Linked DNA regions of Kluyveromyces lactis. The protein of the gene in region 3 purifies or fractionates together with the protein of the main gene of each other region. This does not show direct contact. Links are inferred from orthologs where the notes say so. Each region holds a gene or a part of one and is shown on either strand. Other genes may lie near its edges.

Evidence for each region. Proteins that work in one complex are often made in the same cells at the same time.
Region 1: the proteins of TAF6 (region 3) and NGG1 purify together in Saccharomyces cerevisiae (affinity purification with mass spectrometry; 14 studies listed by BioGRID, with this or other methods). This does not show direct contact. The link is inferred for Kluyveromyces lactis from reciprocal best matches to the Saccharomyces cerevisiae genes TAF6 and NGG1.
Region 2: the proteins of TAF6 (region 3) and SPT15 purify together in Saccharomyces cerevisiae (affinity purification with western blotting; 10 studies listed by BioGRID, with this or other methods). This does not show direct contact. The link is inferred for Kluyveromyces lactis from reciprocal best matches to the Saccharomyces cerevisiae genes TAF6 and SPT15.

Annotation. Positions count from the first base shown.
Region 1 is NC_006040.1:1,523,489-1,527,328, reverse strand, and holds NGG1 (histone acetyltransferase NGG1), read right to left. Parts: upstream 2,580-3,840; coding exon 663-2,579; downstream 1-662. Other genes in the region: MAS1 (mitochondrial processing peptidase), read left to right, coding at 1-521; RSM24 (mitochondrial 37S ribosomal protein mS35), read left to right, coding at 2,928-3,839. UniProt on the Saccharomyces cerevisiae protein: Component of the transcription coactivator SAGA complex. SAGA acts as a general cofactor required for essentially all RNA polymerase II transcription. At the promoters, SAGA is required for transcription pre-initiation complex (PIC) recruitment.
Region 2 is NC_006041.1:892,609-895,336, forward strand, and holds SPT15 (TATA-binding protein), read right to left. Parts: upstream 1,365-2,728; coding exon 663-1,364; downstream 1-662. Other genes in the region: PEA2 (Pea2p), read left to right, coding at 1-293; cohesin-loading factor complex subunit SCC4, read left to right, coding at 2,012-2,728. UniProt on the Saccharomyces cerevisiae protein: General transcription factor that functions at the core of the DNA-binding general transcription factor complex TFIID. Binding of TFIID to a promoter (with or without TATA element) is the initial step in preinitiation complex (PIC) formation.
Region 3 is NC_006042.1:979,133-982,476, reverse strand, and holds TAF6 (TATA-binding protein-associated factor TAF6), read right to left. Parts: upstream 2,055-3,344; coding exon 504-2,054; downstream 1-503. Other genes in the region: SLD3 (Sld3p), read left to right, coding at 1-463; DAD3 (Dad3p), read left to right, coding at 2,425-2,682; ARC40 (Arc40p), read right to left, coding at 2,873-3,344.

The DNA of each region.
Region 1 (3,840 bases), on a different chromosome or scaffold from region 3:
CAATCATTGGTAACTGGGACAGGGCCTTGGGCACAGGTACTAATTCTCCTTCACCTCTTGCTGTTGCTGCATCTGAAAATGGTACTTTAACTAATTCCTACATGTCATTCTCAACATCGTACGCCGACTCCGGTTTGTGGGGTATGTACATTGTGGCTGATTCTCAACAACACGATATAAAGTTAATCATTGACGAAATTTTAAAAGAGTGGAAAAGAATTCGGTCCGGACGTATCTCGGACGATGAGGTAAACAGAGCGAAAGCAAGATTAAAAGCCTCTCTACTTCTTTCTCTAGATGGATCGACTGCAATAGCTGAAGATATTGGAAGACAAGTAGTAACGACTGGTAAAAGGTTATCACCAGAGGAGGTTTTCGAACAAGTTAATAAAATCACAAAGCAGGACATTATAATGTGGGCAAATTATAGGCTGCTCAATAAACCTGTCTCTATGGTTGCTCTAGGTAATGTCAAAACGGTTCCATCTTTATCATACATTCAGACTAATATGAATAACTAAGTAACAAGTAAATATCATAAATCATAATTGCATCAAATATAGACAGGTACATTTATTCCACGTATTCTATATAATAAAGGGTCTAATTCCACTAGCTAGCACCAAAAACCAGCTTGACGCCAGTCTGTCAGTTATTTCAATTTATTCTTCTTTATTTTGTAGAGTTTCATTTAATTCTTCTTCCTTCCCGTTGGCATTATTGCTGAACACATCTGCTTCTTCTTCTTCCTCATCTTGGTCTATATCCTTGAATACGCTATCTCTTGGAATACGCTTCATGACTTCCGGTTTGTCAAACAAAGGACCAATCTTGCTTATCCATCTTTGTCTCTTATCCAACAAAGATTTTAGACTCGAGTTAGCGGCTTGTTGGTGAGCTGCCTGAATAGCTGCCTGAGATGTTGATCCGGTTGCTAATGAATCCGGCCCAGGTGTATATTGCCTCTTTTTCTTATTTTTCGGCGCACGAATACGTTTGATATATGCTTGGTCAACTTGCTTATCAAGATTGTCCAATATGGTACAGTACTCTTGCCATGCGAGCATCCTCTCCAATAACGGTAGAAGCATTGCCTTTCTTTTGGTATTCTTAGTAGTCACTTGACGTAGTGTACTCTGCAGCTCTCTTAGTTCAGCACTAATCTCATCATCTTCCCTTCCGGTCAACCAATCCGGGTCTTCACGTGTTTTTCCTTCTTCTCTCGGTAGATTCATATATATACCAACATACTTTAATTCCCTTTTCAAGCGTTCCTCAAAAGAAACATAATCAATATTGGAATTGTTTGCAATCGCTCCATGTTGTTTGAATATCCCGTATGACGAGGAGGATGATGGGGTAACATGTTCAAGCTCACTTACTGGTGTTGATACTGATGAATCGAGTGTGGGGTTTGTCGGTAATTCTTCCTTAGGAGCTATAATATCATCATCCTTCAGTATAGCACTCAAAAGCCTTGAGACTAGCGGGCCACAAGACACTTCTTCATTGTCAAGTACACCATCCGAAATGTCATTCCCTGATTTCTTAGGCAAGATACTAATAGGATCACTGATAGGTGGAGGAGTCAGATTCGCAATGTTTTGATTATTGTCTTCTTTCAACCACACGTCTGTGTATAGTGGTCCTAATTTAGGAATTGTGTATGGAGTCACTTCGGGGTCATAAGATTTCACAAACTGCAAATTTTGTGGCATGATGAATTTGTTTTGAAGGAATTTGATATCGTCATCATTGAATTCTCTGTAAAAGGCCTCGATGGATGAGAGAAAAGTATTAAACTGAATTTGGTTTGTGGGTTTAGGTTTCGAGAAATCCATATCAGGCAGCTCACCGGGTAGAAGTTCCTTTAAGTCATTTGTAGGATAGCTTACTACCCCGTATTTCTTTTTCAAATATTCCTCACCAGTAGCTTCAAGACCCTCCTCTTGAAACAAACCTAATCTCATTGCAGCAGCAGGTAACGTTTGAGATACTACAAATTCAGACTTGGGGTTTCTAATGTTAGGATCATTTTCCATTTTATCAATATCTAGCTTTGCTTTCTTTGATATGTGACCATCTGATGATAAAACTTCCGCTTCTTCAATAGTATCTTGTGGCCTTTTGTCTGTCTCCTCGTTCTCTTCTGTAATTGATCTTTTATCCGATACGACTTCGCTAGATTCATCAAGTTTTTTATTAATTGAATCATTTTCTGCGTTCTGGGCTGCAAGGTTTGTTGCAGCTTCTGCTTCCTCCTTCTCTTTTTGTTTCTCATCTTCGAGCCTTATTATATCTTCCCGCATTTCCTTGATTAGGTCTAAATTCTCTTGATCACTAGCTGCAATTTTCTCCAAACATTTTCCTAGATTTTCTAGTTGATCTTTAGTTGTTTGCAAAACCGGTTTCTCAGGAACCGACCTCACGTATTTACCGTTCAGTAAACCTATGTCATTCTCAAAAGTCAAGTCTAAAGACTTCAGCATCGAATTTAGAATATTCGACGGTTCATGTAGCCCAGCGTCATCTCTTTTCTGCTCTCTTATTCCTTTGCCTCTTCGCGTATTCCTTGACATAATATACCAGTGGTGTTTTACTGAGTGAAGATCTGGTTTAGCAATCTACTTGATTCCACCTTTGTCCACTGTTGACTATCGTTAAAAGATAGGCTGCTTTCCAGCTTTGGCAATATTAATGACTTTGTTCTGTTTGTTGCTTCGTTGTTTATCTTCCGTTACTTTGACAGATATTTTCATAGAAAATTTATTATCACGTGACCTCCGCCTTTTCTCTGCAAAAAATTTTCCAAGTTTACCAGAAATACCAATAATCCTCGATACAACACCAATCGGAACCAGAGAAAGCCAATTATATTCAAAGTGTTAAAAGGTCTGCGATAACGTAATCATCTTAGGCACTCAACAATGATTACTGGTGCTAGCGTGCAACGTACTGCATTCTTTTGTAGTAGACGTTTAAACTCCACCGTTACGAAAGAAGTTGCGACCATTTCCTCAACACTTTACAAGGATCCATCGAAATGGATCGGTTTGGATAGTAAAGATATCATAACGTTGCACAATGAAAGAAAGGCAAGACTAGGGCCCCTATATAAGCCTTGCGAAGAAGAGTTGAAAGCATTGTTACCCACTGCCGAAGCGTCTGGAATTCCAGCAAAACTTTTCAAAGAGTACTATCATAAGACACCTGAAGAAGTTGAGGCAGAAATGGGCATTGCAAGAGGTCTAGACGAGCATGTCAACTTGGATCAATATCAGTTTGATGATTTGCCATCACAATCACAAATTTTAGTTCATCAACATCGTGAACAACGTTTCTACAATCGTTTGGCAGCATTTGAACTTCCTTTACTTGCGCAGTATCGTCAAGAATATAAACGCCCTTCAACAAAGACTCATCCAGTAGCTTATCGTTATACAACATATCTTGGTGAAGAACATCCAAATTCTCGTAAGGTTGTCTTATCTGTGAAGACATCGGATCTCGGCTTGGAACAGAGGGAACTGCATAAGCTGCGTCTATTGGCAAAAACACGTTATGATTCTACTACAGATACTTTGAGAATGTCTTCTGATCGCTATGAAGAACCAGCTCAAAATGCAAAGTACTTAAACAGCATTCTTCTAGAATTACTCAAGGAGGCTAAAGATTTGAAAGACGACTTTGCTGATGTTCCTCTCGATAAAAGACATATCATCGCAAGACAATTGCGTAAGAAAAAGCGTGGGTACGAGTTCCCAGAAGAGTGGAAACGTCCACAAGATGCTCCAAGGAAAACAGTGGATCTTGTTGAGCTATTACACAAACAGCTTTGAT
Region 2 (2,728 bases), on a different chromosome or scaffold from region 3:
AGCTCTTACACTATCATAGTAAGTTGAAGGAGCGCGAGGAGAAATCGAAAGTCACTTCACAGATGCAATCAATTCCAATGGATATCGATAGATCCTTCTCACAAGCAATTTCCGAATCCAGTGACATCAAATCCTCAACATCTGCTTCTAACCATCAATCTTTCTCAATGATGAAGCAAGAATTTAAACGAATCTTAGCTGATACTCAGTTAAGATACGAAAAAGAACTAGAACAAGAACGCCTGTTGAGACAACAGTTGGAGAACAAGTTGGAAAATAAAGGATACCGCTAATCGTTTTATGTTGCCCTTAACGATCCAAAAATACTAGCATTAAACTTCAATATATTGTTGAAATGTAATTAACTTTGTAACATTATCTAAGACAGAATTCCTCATCCATTTCAAACTCAAGCTGGAAACCATTTACCGATGGCTATTAGTCGTTAAATTTGTGTATGAACTATATGATACATAGAGTAAGGTGCCAATAATAAAGACTTCTATTATAGCAGAATGGATATGAAAAGACAATAAGGAAGGAAAGATAGAAGGAACAAAGGGTTTTCTTGCAGAAGACGAGACAAAACCTCCGAGAATCGAATTAGTGCATTGTTTAATAAAATAAAAAAATGAATTTTTATAGTACCATCCAATAAAACATCATAGCTTCCTGAATTCACTCAACACAGGGTAGATAGCTTCAAACGCTTGATAGATTTCTTCTCTTTGTTTGGCACCAGTTAAGACAATCTTGCCGGAAACGAAAATTAGTAACACAATCTTAGGTTTCACCATTCTATAGATAAGACCAGGGAATAACTCTGGTTCGTATGAAGAGAAAGTACCGTGACTGAATGCTAAACCTTCTAAACGGATTGGGAACTTCACGTCACATGAGCCGACAATATTTTGGATCTTGAAATCAGTAAACTTGGCACTGAACCCAATCTTTTGAATAATTCTGGCATATTTTCTACTAGCCAACTTGGAATCATCCTCACTCTTAGCACCAGTAACAACCATCTTACCAGATGCGAAAATCAATGCAGTAGTCTTCGGTTCTCTGATACGCATAATCACAGCCGCAAAACGCTTTGGATTGTATTCTGCATTACGAGCGTGTAATGCTACCGTCTTTAGATCCAACCTACAGTCCAAATTCACAGTGGCCACAATATTCTGTAGGGTTGGTATGATTCCCGAAGTGGCAGAACCTTTATCTGCGTCTTCCGCATTAGCATCTGTTCCAGGTAAAGATTCATGTTCTTGTTTTTCTTGAGTTTCCCATACTGATCGTGTACTTGGATCAAATACTATCTTGTTTTCCTCTTGGAACTGTTTCATTCTATTTTCTTCTGACATCTTCTTCTAAGCTAAGCTGCGGTAGTAGAGTTTAACTTGATACGATATACTCGGAACAGTTGATAATAAACGAACGCTGAAAGATGGCTTCTTGAAGTATTTCACCAAACAATTGAAAGTCTTGAAAACCAAAGAAGAAAACTGTCTTCAAAAAAAATAGATCGTGTAGGAGTAGCAGATAGTATACAAGTATTGATATAACTTAAAGGGCTGCCTCAGAAATACACGACTTAAAACTGCAATCTTTGTGTGTTGACTGGTTTTTCCTACTTGTTCTACGATTTATATTTGGTTTCCTATGTTAAAAAGTTGTAAGCGGGAAAGAAATCTGATGAAGCTAGGTCACATGATCAATTTTCATTAGTATGATGATGAATCACCAGAGTAGACTTCTTTGACTTGTAAACAGTTCAATCATGTCATTTCCAAACCTGTTATTTGATGAAGTTATACCATGTCGATCTGAGTACATCGGTGGTTTACTTATTGTCTTCTTTTTGTCGTGGATCCTGGTTCCCTTATATATTTCAAAGTTTCATATAACCATTTTGCCCTAGAATAATACACGTCAATTAACGTGTCTCAAGAACAGCATATGCCCATGCTGAAAATAGCTTCCGATTGATGTATGATACACAATACTAGCTATGGACACCTTCAAAGATGAGCTGCTAAACGTTCCGATCTCTTTTGATCAAAAGTCCTTGAGCAGAAAAGCACAGCAGTTAGATTTGATATATCATCTCTCGAAACAGTACACTTTGACTGCACATGATGTTGTTACGGAAATTGAAACTGAATTGGAACTTCGTCAGTATTATACATTGATAAATCAGGCTATACGATGTCTGCGATATTTGAAGGATGGCGGTTTCCAGCTTTCATTAGAGCAAGATTTTCAGATCACTAACGATCTTGTTACGTTATTGATTGAAGAGACTCATCGCATTGATCTCGCAGAGCAATATTTTTCAGCACTCAGAGAGAGGTTGCAAAGTACAACATGGGTCAATGAGAAGATGTATGTGGATTACGTTCTTCTTTGTAAGATCCCGCTGTATAAAAATGATCCAAGTCATAATAAGATTGCACTACGAAATCTATCCAAGCTTATATCAAAGCTCGATACGTCTCTTTGGAAAGTGCTGTTTCAATATTTTAGATTGCAGTTGATTCCAGGCAATGAAAGGAAGTTGGCTGATTATAGAGATATTCTGTTCGTGATCAAAAACCATGAACAATTCCATTTCGTTGTGATGTGTTCGTTTATTAATTACTGTCTCGATGAAGGGATCAGCATACCAGCTGATATGTGGGTTTATTTTAGTGAAATGGACACAGCTCATGTCAAACTTAAAATATGG
Region 3 (3,344 bases):
AAACCTTGTAGAGTTTTTGGAGGAGGAAACAACAAAGAAGAAACCCAAAATGGCGTCAAGGTCGTCGTCGGATTTGAAACTGAATCGCCTTCAAAAAAGACAAATGTCTGTGCAAGATCTTTCTTTAGACGATATTGTCAAGCAAAGACAACAAATATTGGAGGAGTTCAGCACTGTTAGAACTGTTTTGGTAAACGGAAAAGCTATCAATATCTCTCAATCTCATAATAACTCTTTCCAACGAGTTGGTAAACGTAAACTTGCTAGCTATATCTCAGAAACCGGATTTGATGATAAACAGCAGGATATACATGTTACAGCAACTCCGATCAAACCTATAGAGGAAAAGAAGGACACCCCAGTGTTGGTGGCTTCCCCTTCAGTTGTTTCAGAAACACCAGTTAGGGCATCGCCAGTAAAGGTTAAAACCAGGCACGTCCGTAGGAGATTATTTGCGCCGTAGTTAATACGTATATTCGTTACAATATTTACATATTTGATGTCTAAAGCTCACCAAAAAATATAGCATCGTATAGAGTCTTTGCATCGTCTCTTTCCAGTATTACGTTGCCGACAGTAATTCCGCATCTTTCTCTCAAACGAGTTTTGTCCTCCTCACTAAAATCACCAGAAGGGTTGTATGAAGATGGAAGATCAGATTTCAAGTTCTCTAAAGTGGACACTATCACTGTTGACAATAATTTTATCTCCAAGTCAGTTAGGTTCTTTCCGCTCTTGCTGTCTTCCGATTGGCTTCTGTCATATTCCTCGAAAACTAGTTTCGACCAGTTTTGTAAATTGCCTAAAAAGAATCTTATTGTTTCGTTACCGAGGACAGAAACACCACGTACACAACCATAGTAAGTACCGAATGATCTATTGATATCCAAGAATGTCTTAAGTAAAGTTCTAGTAACACGAGGTTTCAACGATTTGTGAACCTTTGGGAACTTTTTCAAGACGTGATCGAGTAAAGAGCTAGCAAAATCACGGACAGCATTAGTCTTCTCTAAAAACTCTTTTTTATTTTGCTGGTCAACAATCTTGTCGTCAGATGAGTTTTTCGAGCCATTACCACCAAGTCTCTTCGCTAATAGTAGTGTTAAGATAGAAGGCATTAGAGAATGAATGTAAGGATCCAAAAATACTGATTGATTACTCAATAACGAATATATCATTTCCAACATTGTAGTTAACAACTCCAAATCCTCTAAATGGTGAGTAATCTGCTCTGCGATAAACTGTATGAAATATGGAACAAGCTGATGTAGTCCTGTGTCAGACTTCAACGAAGTTAAAGCTGCTGCTCTCATCCGTTGTGAATTGATATCTTCTTCCTTCGATGTAAGTGCACTAGCAACTTTTTCGAAATATATCTGTAATTCTTTAGACAAAACGTGTTTGACCAATGGCTTAGCTTCACTTGCTGCACCTGGTTTCACTTGTGTCGAGATAGGTCCATTTGCGGTGGCCTGTCTTTCTTCATTGACATTTGTTTGTAAAGAGGTTTGAACAGAAGTTTCGTTTAATGGTGAGACTATTGCTCCTCTTTGCAACGGAACTTGACTCAGCCTTAGTTCATTGATATTTGGATTTTGTGGAATGGCAGGTTGAATTCCTTCTACCGCTAGCCAATGCGCCGTGAACGTTGGTAATCTTGGAACTTCTGGTAATGGAGTATTGATCAATTTTTCAAAATCGATCTCCTCATCATCTAGGTAATAAAGCGTCTGCCCATTAGCGCCCTCCAACTTATTGAACTTAACGGGCTCATTTTTCGCTGATCCTTCCTCGAATCCATACAATGGCTCGACGTTAAGGACACGTAAAGCTTTCGCAACATCGCTTGTAGTCAAAGTAGATCGCTTACTGTGTCTCTTAAATTTCACCGCTTGTTCCACGATTTCCAAAATACGGTACTCGACATCCATCGCCAATGACCTCAACACGTCATCATTTGTATTTGAGATTCCGAGTGAATCTGCCACATCCTTCACCGTATCATGCGGGGACCAAATTGTATAAGATTGTTGCTGAGAGGACTGCTGTGACATTATTGAAATTGAACACAAATGAATAAAGAAAAGAATACCGTTTACTCGAATAAAATTTATCGCTGTTTCAGTGTATACACCTGAAACTAGAGTTTTCGAGTGGATGTTCGTGCAATAGAGGAGCGCTGGTGTTGTATTCAAATCGTTGGCTTTGTATTCCTTACTTTGAAGGATGGAGTTGTTATTCTTTCAGGATTCGATCGTTTATGTTTTTCGTCAATATTGGAAAATACCAAAAATGAAATAACGTTATCATAAGTTTACCGGATAGAGTTCCAATTGAATATGTAAGGTAAGGCAACAAAGGTAACCATTACTGGTTTGGGCTTACGTACAAATTACAAAGAAACATACTATTTGTGTTTTGAATATGTCTTCGGAACTGACACCATTGCAGCGAAGTGTGCTCGATAAATATCGCTTCCTAGCGGAGTCCTTAAGGGAATTGAGCGAAACACTTTCAGATCTAAACAACACCCATGAGGACTCAAAACCGGAAGCAATTTTACAAGAGATGCGAGAAATTGAAGTGAAAATATCTCTTGTAAGTACGCTTCTCAAAGGTAGCGTATATTCACTCGTGATACAGCGACGGATGGATCACCAACAAAAACCTTCAGATCTATGAGCGGAATCGGACTGATTATTGTAATCATAATCAGAGTTGTAACATTACATTTTAATATATATGAACATAGATATACATATTTCATTTCTAAGGCCACTCTTTTTTATTGTATTCTCACTCTGAACGTAAGAGTTATAGGGGTGATCTGATCAACTATTTGATGAAGAGATGAATCGTTTACCGTCCATATCTACAACTTGTATATAACAAGTTTACCATCCAAACCAACAGAAGAAACTTGAGTGACGTTGTTGTTAGATTCCTTGTAAGCAGCCAATTCTGTAATTGAGTTCACATGGGTAGATTTCTCTTCTTGCTGGCTAACTTTACCCTTCAAATCCAATTCCTTGAACTTTCTCAATGCGGACATACCGAAGGCACCTTCTTCTTCATCATCCCCAGTTGATGCTACCAATTTGCCAGCACTCTTAACTGGGCTATCCAAAATCTTGGACACTTCCCAACCCCTTGAACCTTCGCTGTACAAAACAGGATGATTTGAGAAACCAGCTGCTAAAATTTCATGATCATTGATCCAACATAAGGTGATGAATGGAAGACCTTCTGGGTTGTCTACACTCTTAATATCGTCAGTGTAATCAGTGATATTCAAGGAACCATCGTGGGTGACAAATGCGACCTTATCGATGGAAGATCTCCAT